Linked DNA regions of Oreochromis niloticus. The protein of the gene in region 1 binds, or shares a complex with, the protein of each later gene. Links are inferred from orthologs where the notes say so. Each region holds a gene or a part of one and is shown in the gene's direction. Other genes may lie near its edges.

Region 1 (6,961 bases):
ACTTAAGTTGCTGGGGTAGTGACAGAATGAATTCGGAGCTGTGGACAGCCAGCTGGAACAAGAATATCTAATAAACATGCAAAAGATGCCTCCTGATAAGTTTTTTATAGGTTTATGCACTAAAACCTTCACAAGGCAGACAGAAAACATCGTCACCTGTAAAACTCCTCTCGCTCCCTCTCATCCAGCTCTGTGATGATGTAGGTGAGGGTGCGATCAATCCTGGGAATAATCACTGCAAAGCGGATTCAAAATTATTTTAGCTGCACCAACCCTTATTTTATTTAAAAGGCTGCAGTTGAATGTTAAGTGTGTTTACCGTGCTCGATGGCGTTCACACGGCGGTTGGTGATCTTTATGGCTTCATCCAGAGTGACAAAAGATGTCTGCAAACCAAAATTGAGCAATTTTTAACACTTAAACTTCAGCTTTTCTAGAGTATAGATTACATTTCATCTGCATCTGTAATCCACACAAACTCAGTGTAATGAATGTATCCTTTGTGGAAATGTTATAGTGATATGCCACACAGCAGGAATACACAAACCATAGCGGGAGACGCTACCCCTTTGTCTTCATGAGTTGTTTTGGTCATTTAGGATGTGAGCCTTTGATTATACACTCACATTATGCACAGTTACATGTGAGATCATCAATACAATTTTAGTTTCATTGAGTGACGTTACATTGTGCTTTTTTCAATGATAATACCATCACCCTAACTATAAAGCATGCTTTTAATATGTAACAGCGCCTCCTACCTGTAAGGAGGCCAACTCCACAAGCAGCTCCACAGCTCTGGCATAGTTCCTCTTCAACCTCGAGAGCTGCTCTCCTCCTCTCGCCAAACCGGTGAGCTCATAACCTGACAGACACAAACACATCGTGGGGTGAGGAAGAGCGCTCTCTGCGATTCCCTTCAAACCCAATGTAGAGTTACACCAAACTCAGACATGTAACTGGACTTACTGTCTCCGCCTTCTTGGTAGTGTTCGAATACTGGAAGGGTGACACCTAAAAGAAGAAAAGCAGCAGATATTTTAAACAAAACAAAACAAAAAATGATTAAAAATGAGAAGATATTTTTGATGCTAACCTGCCACATTGTCTTTCTTGGCTCTGACCTTCACCTGGGCTTTGTTAACATTCTGGATTACAGTTGTGCTGTAGACAAAAACAACAGATGGAAGTTGTTTGTGTTTCTGCACCAGAACACAACATCACGTCGCTGACACGTTATTCTCATTCTTACCTGAAGTCTCCTGCAGCAAATTTAGCTTCAGCCAATGAGAAGGCAGCCTCCCTCATCACCTCTCCCATCTTGGTTTTAGTCTAAAAGTATAAACACACCTTTGGGAAACACGCAGCTGAAAGCCTTCATGAAGATTTTATTTCATGAGGTTTTGATTCAGACTGGCTGTAATTTGTTGGTTCATAACAATGAAGGTACCCAATTAATTACTATAGAAACACCTCTTAGTATCAGATTAATTGACCATTATCATGAGCTACAGCCTCCAACCAAAATGCATGATGTATGAATAAAGTATTTATCGCATCATCTGTTCTTTCAGACTGTATTAGGACCAAAAATGAAGGCTCATGTTAAACTGACTTCAATAATTTTGCGAAGGATCTGACGGAAGCGCATGGAGAGGGCATCGGACTTCTTCTTGAGCAGGTTGCGGCCGGTCTGTGCTCCCTTCAGCCGAGCCTTCATGATGGTCTGAGCCCTGCAAATCCAGAGAAACCCACATATTTTTAACACTCTATTTGAATCAGACAGTTAAATTAGGGGTAAAATGACACAACCAAGTTTCATTCATTTCATCTCCTTGTCATGTTTTCACTCAGACCTTAGGCCATCCCAAGGTCTCTGTCTCTCTTCCCTGGTAGTTGATACCCTCACCCCAGTTTTTTTTTTTTTAACCGGCATTTCAGATTTTCCTCTTTTCTCTCTCGACCTCTATGCTTGTTAAAGCTCTTTTTTTTTTTTTTTAATGGATTTGCTTCTAATTTTCCACATTTCATCATTTTATGTCATATACTGGTTCAATGGGTCATCTCTGAAGGACAGGAACAGCCTTAAAAACATTATTAAAGACGTATACTCCAAGAGTACCAAGTCCAAAGAAATGTGTAGTTCAGAAAGAAAAGGGTCTTATTAGTCAAGGTGGCCACATTCTCTCTAGTGAGTTTATTTCAATGCCCTCAGGGCAGGGCTATCATGCACCCATGAAGACAAAAAAACCACTACTGAAACTCCTCTGTTCCCTCTTCTATCAGGCTACTAAATGCTAATTGTCAAGAGTAGTAGTTTGTTCTGGAGCACCAGTGTGGTTCACTGGTTTTAGCAGGCAAACCTGTATATTATAGGGCTATAGTGTGGAGGCCTGGGTTCTAATTCAACTGGCCATTTGCTGGCTTACCTTAAAAAATGAATAAGTAGTAGTATCTGTTCTTCTCTTTCATCTAGCTAATGCATAAGTCCATGTGTTGTAGTTCTGGTGGGAGACCTTACAATGAGCTCCTGACAAGTTGAATTTTATCTGCTAAATAGCTAAGTAGTTGTAACTCACTTGTTATTGACTGCTCATTGACTTTTCATTTAAATTATCATGACTGATAACTTTCAATTTAAATAAAGGCTAAATAAAAATTTCCAAATCACAATCTTTCCCCAGCTCTTTCCAGACTTGAGCAGGTGACTCATATGCAATAAGGCTGCCTTAGGCCTGCGCTGGAATTTAACATGGCTCCATAGTGTAAAGGTTAGAGATCCCTGGATTAAGACCAGATAAATATGGGGATCCATCCTCTGTGGAGCCCTCTTTGTGAATAAGGGAGCAGCCGAAAACATACAGCCATCAACATTCAAGCCCACTTTTGTGTCACATTACTCACAGATTGTTACATGTTAGATTGTTAACGATGTCATCCTGATCGTCTCTAATATAAATTTACTACGTTGCTCTATGCTGAATCCCTTCCCATCCTGGAAGAGAGATCCCATTGATTTTCCTGAGATTTCTTCTGTTTTTTACCATTTCAGAATTTTAGAAATTTTCAGAATTTTCAGAATTTTTTTTCGGGAGGAGATCTTATCTGAACCAAGAGTCTACGGACAGAAGGTGTTACATGCTGTAATTTGTGTAATAGCGTTATTTTTAAAACAAGGTAAGGATCAACACAATCTGCACCACTCCTCTACATACACAGCTCACTGATATTTGCACCCAGGAGCTGATGAAAGGGTCAAACCTCTGTGTTATACTGTTTCAGTGGTCGTAAATCTAATATAACTGGATGCAGGTGAAATTAGGTTAAAATGAAGTCGCTCCGACTGACAGCTCACACTTGGATAATGTGAGAAATATCACATGACAGCAGAAGGATTCTTCCTCTTTTAAACGGTAACCTTGGCACAAAACAAAACGGCGATCCCTGCTTTTCAAATGCATGCAGAAAATTATCCACAACTTTCATATATAAAAGCAAATATGTCAACAAAACAGTGGTATATGAGCTTTAAGGAAGCTACATTGCTTTAGCAACTAGCCATCGCACAAGCTGCTTACATTCTGGAGGGGAATATGTCGATCCTGTCTTTTCCAGACATCTTTCCGTTTTTTGTCGATTACTGCGATTTTCAGTTCACTCCCGCTTCCCTAAATCAACACTACAACTTTAGCTTGAATCCTGAATTATTAATCTAGACATATAACAGCTAAAATCTCGCTCTTCGTGTAGGATTAGAAGAGCAGATCGAGTTGACGGTCGTGATCTTGTCGGCGATGATCAGCTGGCCCTCCGCGTCATGTGACCAAAGAACCAATCTCGTTCCGCACATGCGCGCGTGTGGAAGGTCCCTACGATCTTTTCCGGGTCGACAAATTAGCACACCCATGAATGTGAGCTAGCGGGCCTGAGTTACTCATTAAAAAAAACAAAACACCAGAAAGAAAACCGAATCTGACATTTAAACAAAGTCAGCACGGAACATTCAGGCGCGTCGTTCTGTAACCTTATGACACAGGTGAGTTTGTTTTATGAAGATGTCGTTTGGCGGGGACTGGGGAACGATCGGAACTGGCAGATAGCCGGCTAACAGCTTAGCCTGCGTGTGCCGCATGTGAGCTGGGCACCGGGTTATTAGCTGGGAAGCTAACTGATGTTGAAAGAAAGCGTTTCTGCGCTTGAATGAACATTCTTCTCGTGGTTTTAAATGTGATAACTAGGAAGTCATACAGTCGCTGGTAACACGTACTAAATATTTGGTAAGCAGCTTTTTGTGTCCATATTTTGTCGCCGATTCTCTATTTTAAACAGTAAGTGATTTTTCTGCGATGATGATGCGTTACATCAGTCCATTCACAGCAACAGGGGAAAAAGACAAATGGCAGAAGTTTGTTTCATTTCCCTGCTTTTATTTTATGTCCTGGATATTTGTATATAAGCTAAACCTGGGCTTTGACTTTTGTTCAGTGGGAAAACATAGAAACACAGATAAGTGGCTCCATTCAAACGGACTGGGACTTTTCGTTTAATATTAAAGGTATCTCTCTACTATTTTGTCCACACCTTTCTTGATAGTAGACTAAGGATTAGAAAGAAAACATCTTTATGGCCAAAGTCTTTTTACAGGTTAAAGCCTCTAAAAATGACCGCAACTAATATTTTAAAATCTGAGTAAAATAGAAAAAATGATACTTTTCATTACAGTGTTCTTCCATAAACGGATGTCTTTACTGGTAGCTGAATATACTTCATGAACAGGCACTGCAGTGTATAGTTAAAATACTCTGATGTAGAAAGGGATTGATGTTAATTGGCTGACTGCAGCATTTTTCAAACTCAGAGTACTTGTGGTTGCTGACATTGTGTCCCAGTTGCCTGTCTGTGGCCTGCATACCCATGATATCACATCAAGGTGGTTATCATCACAATAAGTTAACACACAGTTTATCAACTCTCAAAGAAATGGACTAGCCATATACCAGCCCAGATAGTGGGTCCTGGAAGATGAGCCGACTCTGACCCACCAAAGAGGCATGGCATTCGTAGTGGTTTACACAAGAGGAAGGGAGGAGACGACTATCACTAGAGGATGATTTATATGTAAATGTTAAACAGAGGCACAAGATACAATATCTAGAGTCTTAAATCAGGAGTGTTGAGATCAAAGAATGGGAAAACAAAGGTGATAGGATCTAAGGGTCAAACACTCCAGGGGGTAGGCTGCTGTCCTCAGGTTACAGGGACAACAGGATGTTGAAAGCAAAAGATTTGGGGAATAGTAAGTCTGTCCCCATATTTGTCATCTCAATCTAGCTACAAGTGCGCTTACATAAGAGAGTTGGCATTGGCTGCATCCAATCAGTCATAAACCTGGATAAGCCTACTGCCAACAGGGACGTTGATTTTACAGAGGAGAAAACTATGATATTAGAAGAATATGAAGTGGTCATACACATAATACAGGCTGAAAGCAGCACAGCTGCTGCATACCAGTCCAGGAGATCTTGAATGGAATGATGACGCTGTTTCAAGGAGAGTTTGTTTGGTCATTAGGCAGTGATTTCATACAAGCTAATCTAGAAGTTAACATGGTGATGTGCCCTGGTAACAGGGGATTTGTGCTTCTGTGTTGAAAGCCTATGTTGTAACCTGACGTGTAATTAGACATTGTGTGGATGCAGCCCACAACTATTATGATTGTTCTGTATTTTTGAGTCCTCTTGTGTATTTCTGACTACTTTTTCACAGCATAGTTTGTATTTTATTAGTGAGAGAATAATAATGCCTCTATAATTTGTGGCTGACCCCACATATAAAACACTGATTCACAACCATTAAGTAATTAACACGTAATAGACCGTGCACAAGCATGAATGGATCATGGGTCCTGCTCCCTTTAGGGGTCACCACACTAGACCCTCTCATTCTGTTTCTAGCATCTGCTCTGTCACATGCTCTGCATGTCTCTTTCACTACATCTAAAAGGAGGATTGTCAGAGGGATGGTGTGACAGATTATTCACAAATTACTATAATTGAGATTAAAAAAGACAAAGAAAACCAGAATGAAATAATTTATACATGGTTCTCTGCTAATTTAATGTTGAGCTTTGATTGTGTTTAGTTGTGGGACTTCTTTTTAAACAACCTTTGGTGAAAACTGAAGCAGTGGAGGCAGAGATGCTAGTTACAAGTTATTGACCATTTTTTATTAACTAGAAAAAAAATTGTATTTATTAGTACTGAAACACCAAGTTACAGGGCGAGCAGTACTTTTCACAGTGTTTAAAACTGCAAAGTGAAGATTTGTGCCATGACTTGCAGACGTTAACCTCCCCCTGTCTTCTTAACTGTTTCTGACCTCACAGCAATGCCGGGGCTCAGCTGTCGATTTTACCAGCACCGGTTCCCAGAGGTGGAGGATGTCGTGATGGTGAACGTGAGGTCCATCGCTGAGATGGGCGCCTACGTCAGCCTTTTGGAGTACAACAACATTGAGGGCATGATCCTCCTGAGCGAGCTGTCGCGTCGACGTATCCGCTCCATCAACAAGCTCATCCGCATAGGCCGCAACGAGTGCGTGGTCGTCATCCGAGTAGACAAAGAGAAGGGTGAGTGTAGACTAATATAGTTGAAACTGGTGGCGTGTCGGATCTGCAGTGCCAAAGTGCTGGTGGAATAAAAACCATATGAAATGAGATCTTTTTGTGTGGTCCACATTTCCTTTTTTTGAATTGAAGTGTTATTCTGTGACGTCAGGTGGACTGTGGTTAGTAATATGATCAATAACTTACATTAAGTTATAGCATTCACCAGTTTAATATCAGGACAGTCTCACATGACACACAGAATATCTAATTTGGAATAATTAACGGGGACCTGCTCTAATGAGGTCACCATATGTATGGGTAATTCCTGAAGCTCAGGCTGCTTTTTAATGCACC
Region 2 (7,440 bases), about 5.4 Mb from region 1:
AGGCCGCATTGGAGGGGGCCGCTCCTGGAGCCATAGAAAAGGCCGATCTGCAAGGCCTGCTGTGGGCACAATCCACTGACCAGATACAGAGGAGGATGGGTGATCACAGGAGAGCTGAGGGTGAAGCCGGGGAGTGGTTCTCAGAAAGCAGAGGGTTAGTTTCATGAGCTTGGCTTTAAAGGGTGGATAAAAGGCAGAGGACAACTTCAGGGATGAGGAGTAAGGTTGGTCAGAGTTTTGTCTGTTTTTGAATCACTCTTGTGATTTCTCCTTCTAAAACTTTAGTTCACAGCGCAGGAAGAGACACATGTCAGGCAACAAAATCTTCGGGTTGCTGTGCTTGTGTGGTTTCAGCTTAACTGCAGCACAATACGAGTAAAAATCTGGTATCAAACCAGCTTTCTCTCACTTTTACTGAAGACACAGCACAACATGGCAGCCACTTGTGTCAGGTGAGGGGAAGCTGAGGTGTGATGCAGGAAAGAATCAGGAAATCTGGTGCCTCTCAGAGGAGTCATCCTAGTCTAATTACAGTAGACGAGACAGACTTTCTGGTGGCCATTTGGTTCAGAAGTGTTTAGATTTATCGAGGAAGTCACCACTTGTGAAGGAGAGGCGGACCGTGGCCTTCATCTTAACCCCATTTACTCACCGTGAGAAAACCACAAGAGGAGGCGCAAGGAGACCAGAGGAAGGTGAGTAAAGCGCATTTTTTAAAAATCAGCTCAAGCTATTTTAATAAGGGGTTGTGATTAAAATGAATTGAATTTTTTCCGCTTTTAAGGATCACTTGACACAACTGTCGGCATCACGTTGACTTGGCATGGCACGATGTTTGGGAAATAAAAAAAGGACGATGACCTTTGTTTGATGGGAGTCGGTATTTGCCTCACCCGCCTGAGTTATTTAAACTCATTTCAGCATCATCACACTGGCATTACCCATCAAGTATCTCCCAGTATGACCAGTCCAGTCATCTGTCAGTATCAGAAAATTCACTTTTTACTTGTCTGATAAAACAATGGTCAGGTTTAACCCATACAAATGAAAAGAAAGAAGAATTTCCTCTTCCTCGCTTCTAGTTTCATGGAGATGAGAGAAGCCACCATTCTCTGCCTCTTTCGCTCCATTTTTCCTTCACTCACTCACTCACTCACTCACTCACTCACTCACTCTGTCACAGTTAACCGCTGTTAAGCCGGTTCTTCCCGCTACTCTTCACGCGTGGCTATGAAAGGGTGCTTTGTGTCTCGAGGAGCAGCGAATCCAGTTGTTGTCCCTTGTGAGCACATGCTTCCTTATATCCCCATATTAATACGCCACTTATGGAATGTAAGGAAGTGTGTGGTTTCAAGGGGACCTGAGCATCGACGTGGACATTTCTCATATTGTTCTTTCATTTGTCTTCATTCAGAAAATTGTGTGAGGGTGTCTGTCTACTTTGTGTGTGTGTGTGTGTTGTGTGTGTGTGTGTGTGTGTGTGTGTGTGTGTGTGTGTGTTAGGGGGTGTCAGAGTTCATGAACATGTGTGTGTGTGTGTGTGTGTGTGGCAGGACAACAGGTGAAAGGCCTGTTCCCTCTCCTTCAGCTCAGGCACGTGTGCAGTTAGCATTACTCCCAGGGCCGCTGATCGGGTCTCAGGGACTTCTTGAAAAATTCCTGCCCTGCCCCAACTGCTGACAGTCAAGGAGGATTGACAGAGCACAGCTGTCACCCATTATAGCAACCGCAGAGCTCTCAAAAAGGGAAGAGGGGAGGGAAGGGCAGAGATGCAGGAGCTGTCACTGGGGGTGAAAGTTCGCTGCCGTGGGCTGGATTTGGAAGGAAACGGAGAGATGTCACCGGCTATCAGAGTTCTCAAGCCTCTAAATAGGAACTATTTGCTTGGTAACACGGAGGCACTTGTTCCTGTGCTGTAACTTCTCCTTTTCTCTCTCTGTGTGTTCCATCAGGTAAGACTGAAGAGGACTCAGCAGCCCTGACTGCCTGCAGATGATGTCCATCTCCTACTGTATTTCATCTTTCTCGTGTCCCTCTTTTTCCGTGACCTTTACCCCTGTAACCTTTCCTCTTGACTGCCCCTCCCCTCCTGCTCTCCCTCTTGCTCTGCCTCTTGCAGCTGAAGCAACACGCCTTGCTGTGGCTGGTCAAACGGAACCAAGTCAGGTGTTTCTGTGAGGTTTGGTCCCCTTCAACCAGCTACTGCGCCGTGAATTCAGTCAGCACACACCGGCTGGGAGTCAAACACGCAGTGACGTTGTGGTGTAGCGCTGCTTAATCTGGAGATGGTGAATAGAATAGATTATACAGCACAGATGCAACGTGAATCTTCTTTAGGAGCTCTATATTGATTGTTCATGGTAATATGTGACTAGAAACCAAATAAAAGATCACTGATGATGTACAGTGTTCAATTCCTGTTCTTCTGATTCACGTTCAGTCCATTCTGTACTTGAGGAAAGACACAAAGATACATTAAGTCTAGCAGCTGAGTTCACCTTATTCTGCAGAATAGACTCTGACCCAGTATGAGATGATATAAATATAGGGCCTAAAATGGCAGCAAAGTATAACTTAGTAAATTATTTAAACAGAAAAAGAGTGCAGGTGTAGCAGTGCAGGGATAGACACTGTAGCATAGATGGGAAAAGCTAATATTACAGTCTAGGCCAGAGAATTCAGTACCATGGATAGCACTCATGATGTATATATACAGTAATATGCTGTTTCTAGTTAGCTTGCCTTCTGTGTGTGGGTGTGGAGTGTACTCATGCCTGCAGACTATTTACAAACAGGCTGTGCAGAGGCAAGCCAACAATCTAATAACCCTGCGCTATATGAGCTACACACCGAGTACCACTCTGAGGTTTAAAATATCACTGTGCCTGGGACTAGAGCTAGAATAAATCTCTTTTATCCCAACTTCAAGGTCAGTTTTAAATGATGAGATAGGGATGCATCAGTAAAAAATGACAGATCTTTTTTCTTTTAGTGTTTACATGGATTTTACACTTTACTGTATAGGTCTATAAATAGGACATATGCTTGTGTCTGTGTATTTTTGTTCTTGTTTCACTTATATTTCATGTGTGTTTAAACATTTTTTATAAATACAGCCTGGGTGGAAACCTGATCCAAATTTCCTATAATGTGGTACAATAAAATCTGTCTTCAGTCTTTTTTGTGATGGAGGATAATATACACACAAAAATGACACTCCAGATGTCTCCATGAAAATAAACTTCCTCTAAGCATGCAGATGTAACGGGGATGCAAATAAGCATACAAAGAACAGCGCTGCACATCCATTACCAACTTTTTCACTTCAAACTTTTTGTCAAAACCAGCAAAAATCTGCTGCTGTTATTGAAATCACTGACCAAAAGCCAGGATGCTGAAGTTGTAATGCACTGAGTCATAATATAAACAGTAAACTGATAATTAACATCAGCGGAATAGACGGGCGATCTGTCCAGAGTTTACATACCACCTACCCGATGGATGGATGGATGGACGGCTGGATGGATGGATGGATGGATGGATGGATGGATGGATGGATGGATGGATGGATGGATGGATGGATGGATTTTCATTATGAACCTTTGCCCTTATCATTACAGCAAAGTCACCAAAATAACATTCCTAATCAGTCCAGTTGTAGTTTGTAGTTTCATGTTCCTTGTTAGACAAAGGAGCAGATACCAGTTCTGCTGGTGGGATAAGGACCTTCCACGGCCTCGTCCAGTTCTCCTAGAGTAACTGCCTGTCTCTTGGAATCTCTTCCTTGCTGTTGATACTGTGCAGGGAGACACATCAAGCCTTCTGGCAATGTGACATTTTAATGCCAGAATTGGAAAAAAGGTTAGTGGCCTCCATCTGTAAAATAATTACTGGGGGGGTGTCTCATTGTTTTCTCTCTAGTGCACCTGTTGTGAATTTATTCACACCAAAACAGATAAAACTGATCAACAACCCCCTCTGCTGCTTAACTGACCAGATCAATATTCCAATATTCAATTCAATATTCAATATTCCCTCTATGTATTGCACAGTGATTCCCTCTACTGTGCAGTCACTGTGCAATACTTAATTCTATGTGCAGTAACCAAAACAGTATATACAAAACACTATTTATTTATTTCCCCTTTTAATGTTCATATGTATAATACTCAGAAGGTTTTTTGTTTAAAGAAATAAAGGAATGCTCAAGACTTTTTCACAGTAGGCTACTGAATGATGTAGGAAGTTTGATAGTTTTAGATTTTTTTCAAAGAGTCTACAAGTTGATGTAGCAAGTCCTGCCTTAAGAATCAAATGTAAACATAAAATAAATAACAGTATGTCACTGAGTGAGCCTTAATAACACCCATTAAGCCTTAATAACACCCATTAAGCCTTAATACTATTTGGAAAATGGACCGCACTACATACTCATACAACGTCATCCACCAGGGGGCGATATACGTTTCTATGGCAGTAGTTTCTACAGCAGATGAGGAAGTGAAGCAGCATCGTAAACATGGCTGACAGTGGAGTGATAGGTGGGTTTCAGAGTGTGTAAATAGCTGTAGTTCATTTGGTTTTTCCTTTTGGTTCTTATTCTTTAGTTGTAGGAGTTACGAAGAAGTATCTCATACTCACAGCGCTTATTATGTAGACTTTGTTATTAGCTGGTAGCAAAGTTAATTTCCCAGATGCTAGACCTGCTAACGTTAGCGTCGAGAGCATGTAAACGGTACTCATGCCGTAGACACGGAGAATGTATTGCATCATCTTTTCGAGTAGTTTTAAAATATACAATACGCATGTTTCTCGTTGTCACTGTGCTGTGACGATGATGCACTACACTAGTTTTATTACTGGTTTCGCTGACATGGTGCAAACTAAAAGCAGCTAACAGACTCGACCTTAGTATCACCGCCTCTTGTGGGAAAAGTAACAGAAGTACGTTATAATGATAAATAATCTATTCTTATCATCCTCTGTTGCTTGTGTTACAGATGGACCCGGGAGGAAAGATGAAATTGAACGCGCAAAGGTTAGTCTAGGTGTTTTCTTGACATTTATTACAGCCTTTTGTGTGCATAAATGCTTTCCTTAATAATTAGGTTTTTCTTGACGCCTCTTCCTGTCACGTGACAGAGTGAAGGCAAAGACCTAACCAAGGAGGAGAAGCAACGGCTGAGGAAAGAGAAGAAACAGCAGAAGAAAAGCAAAGAGAAAAAAGATGACAAGGCATCACAGGAAAATGAGAAGGAGAAGAAGCCGGTCACTTCAGCAGCTCCAGCATCCCAGCCTCCGACAAAACCCACAATGCAGAAAGGTGCCTCCCATTTAGGCAGCAGCAAGTGTTGTATCTGGGTGTACAGTGTGATTCATTCTTTACCCTGATATCTGTGTCCGTTTTGGTCTTTGTCAGCTCCTTCAGCAGTGCCTGCTACAGCACCCGTTTCTGTGCCTGCCTCAGAGGCTTCTGGGCCTGCGGACAAACCGGCAAAGACTAAAGCGGAGCTGAAAGCTGAGAGGAGAGCTCGGCAAGAGGCTGAGAGGGCCAGCAAACAGAACAAGAAGGGAGAGACAGGACAGCAGGCGACTACTAGCAAACCAAAAGCTCCGCCCAGTGATCTGCAGCCAGGTACTGCTGTTGCACCTACGATGACAGACATCTTTTGGATAATCTAACTTGAAAAACTGCATGCACTGTTGAGCCAAATCAAGTAGGAACAACAGACAGCTACCTATAGAACCTTGAGAAGCTGTTTGTGCCAACACAGAAGCTGCATGGCTGTGGAGGGCTCCTAGTTGGCTGTGATAAATACCGACTAACAGTGATTAGTGATTGTTGTAGGGCCAAACTTTGGTCTAATGATTGGCTTCAGCGAAATATGCTGAAACAAGACTGATTGGTGGTAACTTCAACCAACAATATGCCGGTACCAGTGAAGTGTTAAATGTAAAGGCCAAAGGCCTGTTCATGAAGCAAATTCAACATACCCTGAGTATCTTTCTCTTAACATTGACAGTCAGAATAAGCACTCACATGAAGCTGGTTATCAACACACTATGTTGGTTTTCCCTTGCGCGTTCACATGATACTGGTGGCAATGGTAATAAGTGAATCAGCAGTAGAGCGACTGATTTTACCAAGGAAGGTGAAACTGTACTGAAATATGGGAAAATATGAAGACGTTAAACACGTAATAAAGACTGAAAGCAACACAGTTGCTGCAGACAAACCAGCAATATGAGTGTGTGAGAGAGAAAAATGACTGTAGTGTAATAATATATTAAAAGTGTAAGCTTTAAGTGCTTTGACCAGTAAGACAAGACGAAGCCTGGGAAGAAAACTGGCAAAAATACCAGCTCTGCAAAGTTAACAGACTTATCAATATGAGAGCTCTTTCATTAACACATGGGTAAAGAGTAAAGAATAAATATAAACACAGAATTTGAATGTATGTGTTTTGTTTTCAGATTAACAGGCAAAAACAGGGAGCAGAAAATCAAGAAAAAAGGTGTTTCTGAGAATCTATATTTATTACGGATTTATTACTAAAAAACATTACACTGTTATACTACTACTACTATTACTATATCTACACATTGAGGTCTGAGGGATCTTCCAGGAATGGTGGTGCTATTTTCTAGAGGATTGATTGGTTATTAGGCAGTTTTACATGTGTGTTGATCTCGAATGTGGAGCATAACCTGCTTTGTAGTGCAAGTTACCATGGCGATATATCCTTATCGTGGCTGGTAAGAAGTGAACAAATTGTAGTAGAGAAAGTCCACGGTTAACCGTGTAATTACCTGGATAAGATAAAATCCTGCTTCGCAGTACAGGCCTCAAAGCTATTTAGCATCTCCCCAAAGGATCAGCAGAATGTAATTCAAGTTTGTCTTAATTTTTTGGCTCGTCAGAATATTAACACTCTTTGCATTTTCAGTGGTGAAGAGGCTCCCAGAACACATTCAAGTGGACAACCCAGACGTTTTAAAGAAACTTGCCAAGAAGTTGGAAAGACAACAGGTCAGTATTGTTATGAGGAACTTCTGAACACCCTTAAAAAAAGATTCAAGACACACCGGATACACACGATACACAGTGATTCTAAATAACCTTTAGATTTGTTGTAAGAATGGATAGATTCATGGGGAAATGTTTGACTTACTTTATGAAAATGGCTTGATCTTGGATGCTTAAAGTAACTATTTTCTATGTTTGAATCTAACATACTGTATTGTAAACAAATTCAGTTGATTCAGTTGAAAAAACACTGCTGGTATGTTTACAACATGTTATATTGGACAGAAGTGTGACATTTCCTGCAGGTGCATGGTTCGTTTTTGGAAATCTAAGCTTTTACTAGTTAAATCTGAGACATTCTCTAATTAAACAAAAGTCAGTCAGGTGTGCACATAAATAGAATTCCTGTTATT
Region 3 (7,632 bases), on another chromosome or scaffold:
TGCTCCGGGTTTCAGCTCGGACCGACCTGCCCGACATTGCCGCGGTGGGTATAATATTTTTAAAGCTCGCCGGCAGCTCAGACACAATGCAAACAGTAGAGCGCACAGAGGAGCCAATTGCGCCTGCGCGGGTTGATAGAGCAGCGAGAGGAGGGGGGGGCGGAAGGCTGCAGCTGCACTCAGAAGAGCCGTCTCCCTGCTGAGCCAGGAGGAGAACAAAGAGGCTGCAAGCTGCCTGATGTTCTGTACTTCAGTCCAGCCAGAAAACTTAACGCTAAAACTAGAGAGTGTGCGAGGAAAAGACGAAGAAGATGATTCATATTTTTACTCTGTTTGATTCATTATTGTTTTTTGATACTTTGAATAGACTGGCCTCGAGTAAGAGTATAAATGTCCCCCACGTCTTAACACAAGACTGAAAAACAACAGCAAAATTACACCACTTTCATTCTGGCAGCTTCTGTCCCGTGTCTCTATTTGTCACTTTGCGTCTCCTTCAAACATCTGACATGTCTTTAGTCATTATGTGTATTTTGGCCTTGTCTTGCATCCGTCAGTCATTTTGAGCATGTCTCAGGAGCTTTGTGTTCTTTTCTTCTTGCCTGATATTGTCATTTTGTGTCTCCTGTTCTGTCCTTGGTTTCATCTCTTTCTGTCACAGATTTTAAATCTCTTTATAGTTGTATTGTGCCTCTGTGGAGTCTATTTGGACTTGTTTTGCATATCTTTGATGTCACTTTTCTGTTTCTTATTCAGTGTTTCTTATTTAGTGCCTCCTTGGCCTTGTTTTGTATGCCCTCATAATGTATATAATGTGTATTGTATTGCTTTTATTGTGTCTTTTGTGCATATTATGTCCCCTTTTTGACTTTTCAGTGTCCCCTTCTGCCTTTACATTTTTTATTTTTTACTCTGACAATTTTTGACTCTCCTTTGTCGTAATTTTGAATCTTTTTATTCAGTCTTTCTTTGTTTTCACTTTCAGTTTTTGTTCGCTTTTTGTTATTTTATTGTCATTTAAAATTTTTTTTCCTCACTTCTTGTTTCTTTGTTTCCCTTCAGTTATCTTTATTTAAGTTTTTTCTGGTAATTTTTCTCCAATTTTTGCTTCTTTCTTGTTATTTTGTTTATTGTGTGACACTTCAGTGCCTCTTGGTGCTCATTTTGCATGTTTTTCAAACTGTTTGTCCTCACTTTATTTCTTTGGGGTCATTTTGACTCTTTCTTCTTAGTTTCGGCTGTTTGTTGTCATTGTGAATACCTTCCTCCACTGTCCTCACCACTTTTCATGCAGTTCAAAGCTCACCTGTGCAAAAGACACTAAAACAATCAAAACGTTTTTCACATTTGTCAGAACCCGCAAAGTCAGACAATCACTTCAACTCTGTGATGAATGAATAAAAACACTTTCACCACTTTTTGTAACATTTAAATGGCTTTTATCTTCATTAAAACCTTACACACTTTGGAAAGTATTTGAGAACCTACTACCTACTGGTACCTACTGACATAACCATACCCGGGGTTTACAGAGAGTGGTCTGAGAAAGAGAAACTATCCAGTGAGCGACATTTCTCTGGGTGAAAATACCTTATTGCAAGAGGAGAATGGCCTGGATATTTTGAAATGAAGGCAAAAATAACTCACTCGAGGACTTGTGTTACAAACAAGACATGCAGAACAGCATCTATGAATGCACAACACATCAGATCTTGATGCAGATGGGCTACAACAGCAGAAGACCACACCAGGTGCAACTCCTGTCAGCTAAGAACAGGAAACTCAAATTGCTGATGAATGTTTCCAGCACTTTGTTGAGTCTATAACACACAAAATTAAAGCAGTTCTCAAGGCAAAAGGCAGTCCAAGCTGAGATTTTATATGTTGCATCTTACAAAGTGGCCGTTGGGCATATAGTATGCATGCATGTAATTAGCAGTGCCTTCACACAGGACTGTATGTATTTCTATCTCTTTCAACTAAACTTCTGAGAATGCGCTTCCACCCAAAATACATTTTCACTGCTAACACCAAGAGTGTGTGACTGGATTTGCTCATTTTAACATATTTGAAAACAGTTTGAAGTAACTTGATTGAAAACACTAATGCAGTGCTGGACAGTATTCAGGAAAGGGACAGATCTAAGGTTCTGACTAAGAAACATATAAACTGTTTTCATGAATTTTAAAATGTCATTGTGAGAAGTGCATCAACACCATAACAAATATCTCTAGAAGTGTATGTAGTCTAGTATGTGTAGAAACAATAGCAGTGTGTATAAAAACACTGAGATAAAAACGTGTGGTGATAAAAACGCTAGTGTGGCAGGGGAAACGTGTTACTGATTTTAGAACTGCATTAAGAAGTGAGAATGGTGTTTCTGGTGTGAGAATTGTGCCAAAGCAACTGAAGAAAAACTATAATTAATGACAAAGTTGGTGGTTGTTAGAAAAGAACCATGTGGCCCTCTGCAGTTGTAATTCAAAACTGCAGAAGGGCTTGGCCTGAAGAAATGGACAAAGACTTACTATCAAACTTTTTTTTTTCAGTTTGTTAAGTTTTATAATAATAATAATACTAACAGCAAAAACAAGTCTTCTTCTATTTTCATTTTAGAAGTCATTAAAGTGTATTGCCTACCTCTATCACATCCTATCCCTGGCATCCTCTCCACTCACACCAGGCCTCAGCATGTCTTCTTTCACTACATTGAAAAAAACCTCTGTGTGATCTTTCCCTAATACTCCTGCCTGGTGGCTCCATATTTAACATTCTTTGTCCAATATATCCATTATGCCTCATTTACACACTTCCAAACCATCCCAGGCTTTCCTCTTGAACTTTGTCTCCAAACTCCTGAGCTGTCCCTCCGATGTTCTCATTTCTAATCCTGCCCCTCCTAATCACACCCAACAAGGGTGAATCTTCAACTATGTCGCCACTCTTTTTGTCACCTCTCTTGTGCACTGCCCATTGTGAAGATGTTTAAAACTTCTGATTTTTTGCATTAGATCTAAACAAACTGCCTTTTCACTCTTCATTCTCTCCATAGCTGTCCTCATGTCCTCCTTACTAATCCTCTGGACTTCCTGATATCATTCCCCCATCCTTCACATTCTCTATTATTTTCTTCTTTCATCAGCTCCTCAAACTAATCTTATTTATCTTCTCACCATACTCTCATCACTTGTTAGCACATCTTTCCTTCTATGTGACAAATCACTGCTGCACATCCTTTCCAGCTCAGTCTCTCTCACAAATTCCCTTATCCTCACAAGTTCCCTTATCCTTAGCTCATTGTGAGGCTGTTAGTGTCCAGCCTCACACATGACACACAATGAGCTTTTAGCCTTTGGCTTTGACACCTCTCTTTTTGCCATACACCTAGCCTCCCAGTACTCCTGTCTGTGTTTTTCATTTCCCTGACTATTCCACTTTTTCTTTAATAGTCTCTTCCTTCACATACTTCAACTCCTCCCCAAACTCTGTATAACATTCTTCCTTCTTCAACTTTTACCATTTAATCTTTGGCTTTGCCTTCATGTGCTTATAAGCCATTAAAGCCAAGTGAGCCCACTAAAAATCATTACTGACATTAATTATCAAGTTTAATTTAATTCATTAACATTTTAAAATATGTATTTTGTTATGTGTATCGGTGTTTACATTTTTAGTTCATATACTGTGGTACAGGTTAAAGGTTTGGGAGCTATTTAGCTATATTTGAGGCTGTGAAACGTATCAAGATTAACTGGAAGTTGAATTATAGAACAATATCGAAAGTATGTGTTGACACTTCACCCTGTGTAAGCAGTATACTTAATTTCATAAATGACCCGTAATATTGCAGTGTAGTTCTATTAAGGTACATAATTATTGTAAATGTTAATTAATGTGTAAATGTTATTATATTATAACTGCTGGTATGAAGACATATTTCATAATAAACTTTGTTTTATGCTCTTGTACCTCTTCATGCCCACTATGCCCAGAGGACACTAGAATAAGAAACACTTATATTTCCTTTCAGTTACATTACAGAATGGAATAAGCAACTTACTTATTAGATGTCTGTGCTTTACTGTTCATGAACATGGATGGATCTGATACCAATACAAAGTTCAAATGGTTTCTCACCAGTTGTTTTGTCTCTGACTCTCATATGGTCTGGTTGTCTCCCGTTATAGGTAAGTGAATCTCTTTAGGATTTATATGTTTTAATAGAAATTTCTATCTCTCTGTTGTTGATTTATGGTCATTTCATTCACTTTGTGGAGATTCTGCATTACTATGTTACTATTTTACAATCTTTGCTGTTATTTTCTTTCCTTTTGAGGTTACAATATGAGCTATTTGCATCATTTTGAATCTTGCCACTACGGTCACTTTGCCATTTGTTGTGGTTTATAAAAACAAACAAACAAAAACAGAAAACAAAGAAACAAATAAACGAATGAAAGAAAAAAGAAGAAAAGAAAAAATCACATTTCCAACTTCACGTGAACGGCACGGCGTCTGGGAGACGTTTTTGTCCTACGTCATTACTCTGCGACACGTCAACCTGCCTTTTGCAGGATGAGCTAATGGTGTGTAAGTTGGAAATAGTGACAGGAGCAACTTTTAGACAGTGTTCAGTAGGTTTTTGCTTACATTCAGAGTGGGGCTGACTTAAAACAATATTTCGAGCGCTGTGAATATTTTCGTTTGAAAGAAGGAGATAGTGAGCGGAGTCAGCCGCTCTGGCATGTGTCAGAAAGAGTGCACTGACTGAAACCTGTAGAAATCTTCTGTGGTTTGCTTTTAGGCGCTGTTGTTGCTTTCAGGATGAACAACGAAGGTAAATTGCTTGATTTTAAAAATAAATTTCTGCTTTTTTGTGTTAGAAATATTAACTGCATATCTCTGTGCCTTGGGACAGAGCTGGTGGAGTATTTCAGGGATCAGATGAGGAAAGACCCGGACATGGCCTCTGCTGTTGCTGCCATCCGCACTTTGCTTGAATTCCTCAAGAGAGATAAAGGTTAGTGTTATGCCCTTGGTGTTAATACAGACACGTCTCGGCTTTTTCTTATTCTCGCTTGGATGTGGAGAAGAAGACCTGAAATTTAGCCTTTTTGTGTTTTCTCAATTTGTAAATAGTTTTTTTTGTAGTTTCTCTGGGATAATTATGTGGGCCAAGATCTGAAAACAGCATCTAGAGTGTTTCAAATATCTGAAACAGTGCTTTAAAAAGTTACTGAAGCTACTGAAGCCCAGATGTCAAGTCCAGTTTTAAATCTTATAAACAGCAAATGTACTGTTTATAAGATTTGGGGAAACCTGCAGTCAGCTGAGACTGAAGAAGTCACTTGGATGAGTGACGAAACGTTTCTCCCACAAAACGCTACGTCCAGATGAACAGATTCAACTTTTGGAGATCCAGTTTTAAAAAGAATTATTATTTTTTTCTACCATAAATAAAATAAAGATTTCACAGATTTGAAAGAGCACTGTAAGGAACTACTAGGAACTACAAAGCTGTCTCTTCCCCTTCAGGCGAAACAATCCTGGGGCTGAGGGAGAGCCTTACGTCAGCCACAGACTGCCTGACAGGAGTGGACTCCTCTGTGGCCGTTTCCTCGGGAGGGGAGCTCTTCTTGCGCTTCATAAGCCTCACATCTCTGGAGCACCAGGTGAGTGAAGACAGTTTGGCGTTGGAGATTTAAACATTGAACAAAATTAAGCGTGAATAACTTGAGTGAAATCATCAGAGTGCTACCAGATCTGTTGTATGTTATCGAGTCAGACCTTATGGATGCTGTGCAAGTGCTACTGTTCTCGAAAGAACTTTATTAAAAGAGACACTGCAGTTCTACAGCAAAGTTATGGTTCATATAGGAGAACAAATATCATCAAAGTAAAGAAAAAACTGTTAGGTGGAGGTGTCACAATTGGAAAATAGTTGTGATTATTTTTCGTACTCTTCTGCAGCTGATGGCTGGTTGAAGCCTGGAACTTACAGACATCACCAAAGAATGTATTTCGTCCTTCATGACGTTTGCCAGGCCATTACTGCATCTGTCTTTAGTTACTGTTTGTTTATGGTTCTGTATTTTGTTTTGTCTTCAGTGAGTGAAACACAGTTTGATCAGGTTAAGACAACGTGATTGACCCAACAGCTTCAGGATATTCCATTTCCTGACCATCAAAAACTCCAGCGCTACTTTTAGAGTGTATTTTGGATCATTGTGGGACTTTGCTGGATATGACTGGTTTTTTTTGCTGTAAGCAGACATGATAGCTCTGCACACCTCAGTATGCATTCAGCTCTGTCTGTTTTTCACATCACTTATAAAAATTAGTGACCTTGGAACACTGGAAGCCAAGCACACCCCTCCCATTTGCTGCTTCCACCATGTTTTATTGAGGCTGTTATTTGTCTCAGATTATAAGACATTCCAAAGCTTCTGTGCTTTGTTCTCTCCTTTCTACTGCAGGTTGTTCTTAGTTTCATTTGACCAAACTTTCAGCAGTTTGCAACTTTCTTGCGATCTTTGTGATGTGCTTGTTTTTTGCTGACTAGGGATGGCCTGTGTAAGTTGCTTTGAGATCTTCTCTGACTCTATATTCCGAATTCAAAGAAATGGCTTCCAAATGTTACACACATTGTCCAAATGTCACATTGTCAATTTTGGAACATCATTCTCCTTCCCAAAAAGAAATTTAAATCAAATTAGTTCTAGCACACATTGTAGATGCAAAAGTGCAAGATTTTAGAAGAAAGCACATTAGGAGGAACTTAGAAATAGCAGTTTTGCTGGAACTGCTATGGAGATTGGCTAGATTTAAAGAGGCTGCACCGTATGTTTGCATGATCAGACCTGTTATCTTAATCCAAGGCAGATGCTAACATTTATTTTTTTCAGGACCTGTCTCGCTGTAAGAAGGTGATGGAGGAGAGAGGAGAACTATTTTTAGAGAAGATCTCCATGTCAAGGACCAAGGTCGCCAAGCTCTGTCACACCTTTATTAAAGATGGCGCTGTAAGTACGGAACACAACCTAATTCTTGCTCTTTACAGGGAAAAGGTTCAGTGATGCATTTTTTTTTTCCTTCTCCCTGGCCTCTCCTTGTCTCTCTCAGAAAATCCTGACTCACTCCTACTCCAGAGTTGTCCTCAGGGTGCTGGAAAAAGCTGCAGCTGAGAAGAAACGATTCTCTGTCTATGTGACTGAATCGCAGCCTGACGCAGCTGGGTGAGGGAGCAGTCTATATACTGTATTCTAGTCTTACTCTGAAACGACACAGGCTTATTTATGTTCTTTTTTTTATTCAGGCAACACATGGCAGAAGCCCTGAGGAAACTCAATGTTCCAGTAACGGTCGTGCTGGATGCAGCTGTGGGGTGGATACAGATGTTAATAATATCTGATTTTAATGTCATGTCTCTTGTCAATGTCATTTGCATTAGTTTTGTATTTTTTGTCATTCTTTACAGATACGTCTTGGAAAAAGTGGATCTAGTCATCGTTGGTGCTGAGGGAGTTGTGGAGAGTGGTGGGATCATCAATAAGGTGTGTTCCAGTAAAAACTCAGATGCTCTTCAATTGAATCTAATTCAAATCAGTGTCAAAATGCTGGCTATTGCTTCTT

What was found.
Region 2: the proteins of eif2s1b (region 1) and eif2b4 are in contact, whole or in part, in a cryo-EM structure (PDB 6O81), measured with the Homo sapiens proteins. The link is inferred for Oreochromis niloticus from reciprocal best matches to the Homo sapiens genes EIF2S1 and EIF2B4. Residues at the interface, in NP_004085.1 of Homo sapiens: Met30, Tyr33, Met45, Arg55, Arg57, Arg75, Glu79, Lys80, Tyr82; in NP_001029288.1 of Homo sapiens: Asn245, Glu246, Glu247, Arg250, Thr285, Ser520, Ser521, Asp522.
Region 3: the proteins of eif2s1b (region 1) and eif2b1 are in contact, whole or in part, in a cryo-EM structure (PDB 6K72), measured with the Homo sapiens proteins. The link is inferred for Oreochromis niloticus from reciprocal best matches to the Homo sapiens genes EIF2S1 and EIF2B1. Residues at the interface, in NP_004085.1 of Homo sapiens: Ala28, Glu29, Met30, Tyr33, Gly44, Met45, Leu47, Leu48, Arg75, Lys80, Tyr82, Ile83, Asp84, Arg88; in NP_001405.1 of Homo sapiens: Gly39, Thr41, Ile42, Gln43, Gly44, Leu45, Arg46, Ala47, Asn48, Glu70, Arg74, Ser77, Ser80, Leu81, Glu82, Tyr83, Ser84, Asp85, Tyr86, Cys89, Leu305.

Annotation. Positions count from the first base shown.
Region 1 is NC_031980.2:14,224,320-14,231,280, reverse strand, and holds the start of eif2s1b (eukaryotic translation initiation factor 2 subunit 1b), read left to right. Parts: upstream 1-3,876; 5' UTR 3,877-4,036; intron 4,037-4,146; exon of another isoform or gene 4,147-4,277; intron 4,278-6,385; 5' UTR 6,386-6,387; coding exon 6,388-6,628; intron 6,629-6,961. Other genes in the region: atp6v1d (V-type proton ATPase subunit D), read right to left, coding at 157-235, 320-386, 762-865, 970-1,014, 1,097-1,164, 1,253-1,332, 1,616-1,733, 3,579-3,619. UniProt on the Homo sapiens protein: Member of the eIF2 complex that functions in the early steps of protein synthesis by forming a ternary complex with GTP and initiator tRNA. This complex binds to a 40S ribosomal subunit, followed by mRNA binding to form a 43S pre-initiation complex (43S PIC).
Region 2 is NC_031980.2:8,799,957-8,807,396, reverse strand, and holds the start of eif2b4 (translation initiation factor eIF2B subunit delta), read left to right. Parts: upstream 1-4,423; 5' UTR 4,424-4,519; coding exon 4,520-4,541; intron 4,542-5,000; coding exon 5,001-5,038; intron 5,039-5,142; coding exon 5,143-5,323; intron 5,324-5,419; coding exon 5,420-5,635; intron 5,636-6,947; coding exon 6,948-7,030; intron 7,031-7,440. UniProt on the Homo sapiens protein: Acts as a component of the translation initiation factor 2B (eIF2B) complex, which catalyzes the exchange of GDP for GTP on eukaryotic initiation factor 2 (eIF2) gamma subunit.
Region 3 is NC_031972.2:11,331,989-11,339,620, reverse strand, and holds the start of eif2b1 (translation initiation factor eIF2B subunit alpha), read left to right. Parts: upstream 1-4,525; 5' UTR 4,526-4,824; coding exon 4,825-4,837; intron 4,838-4,918; coding exon 4,919-5,020; intron 5,021-5,535; coding exon 5,536-5,672; intron 5,673-6,905; coding exon 6,906-7,022; intron 7,023-7,122; coding exon 7,123-7,235; intron 7,236-7,315; coding exon 7,316-7,384; intron 7,385-7,477; coding exon 7,478-7,553; intron 7,554-7,632. Other genes in the region: bcl7a (B-cell CLL/lymphoma 7 protein family member A), read right to left, coding at 1-37.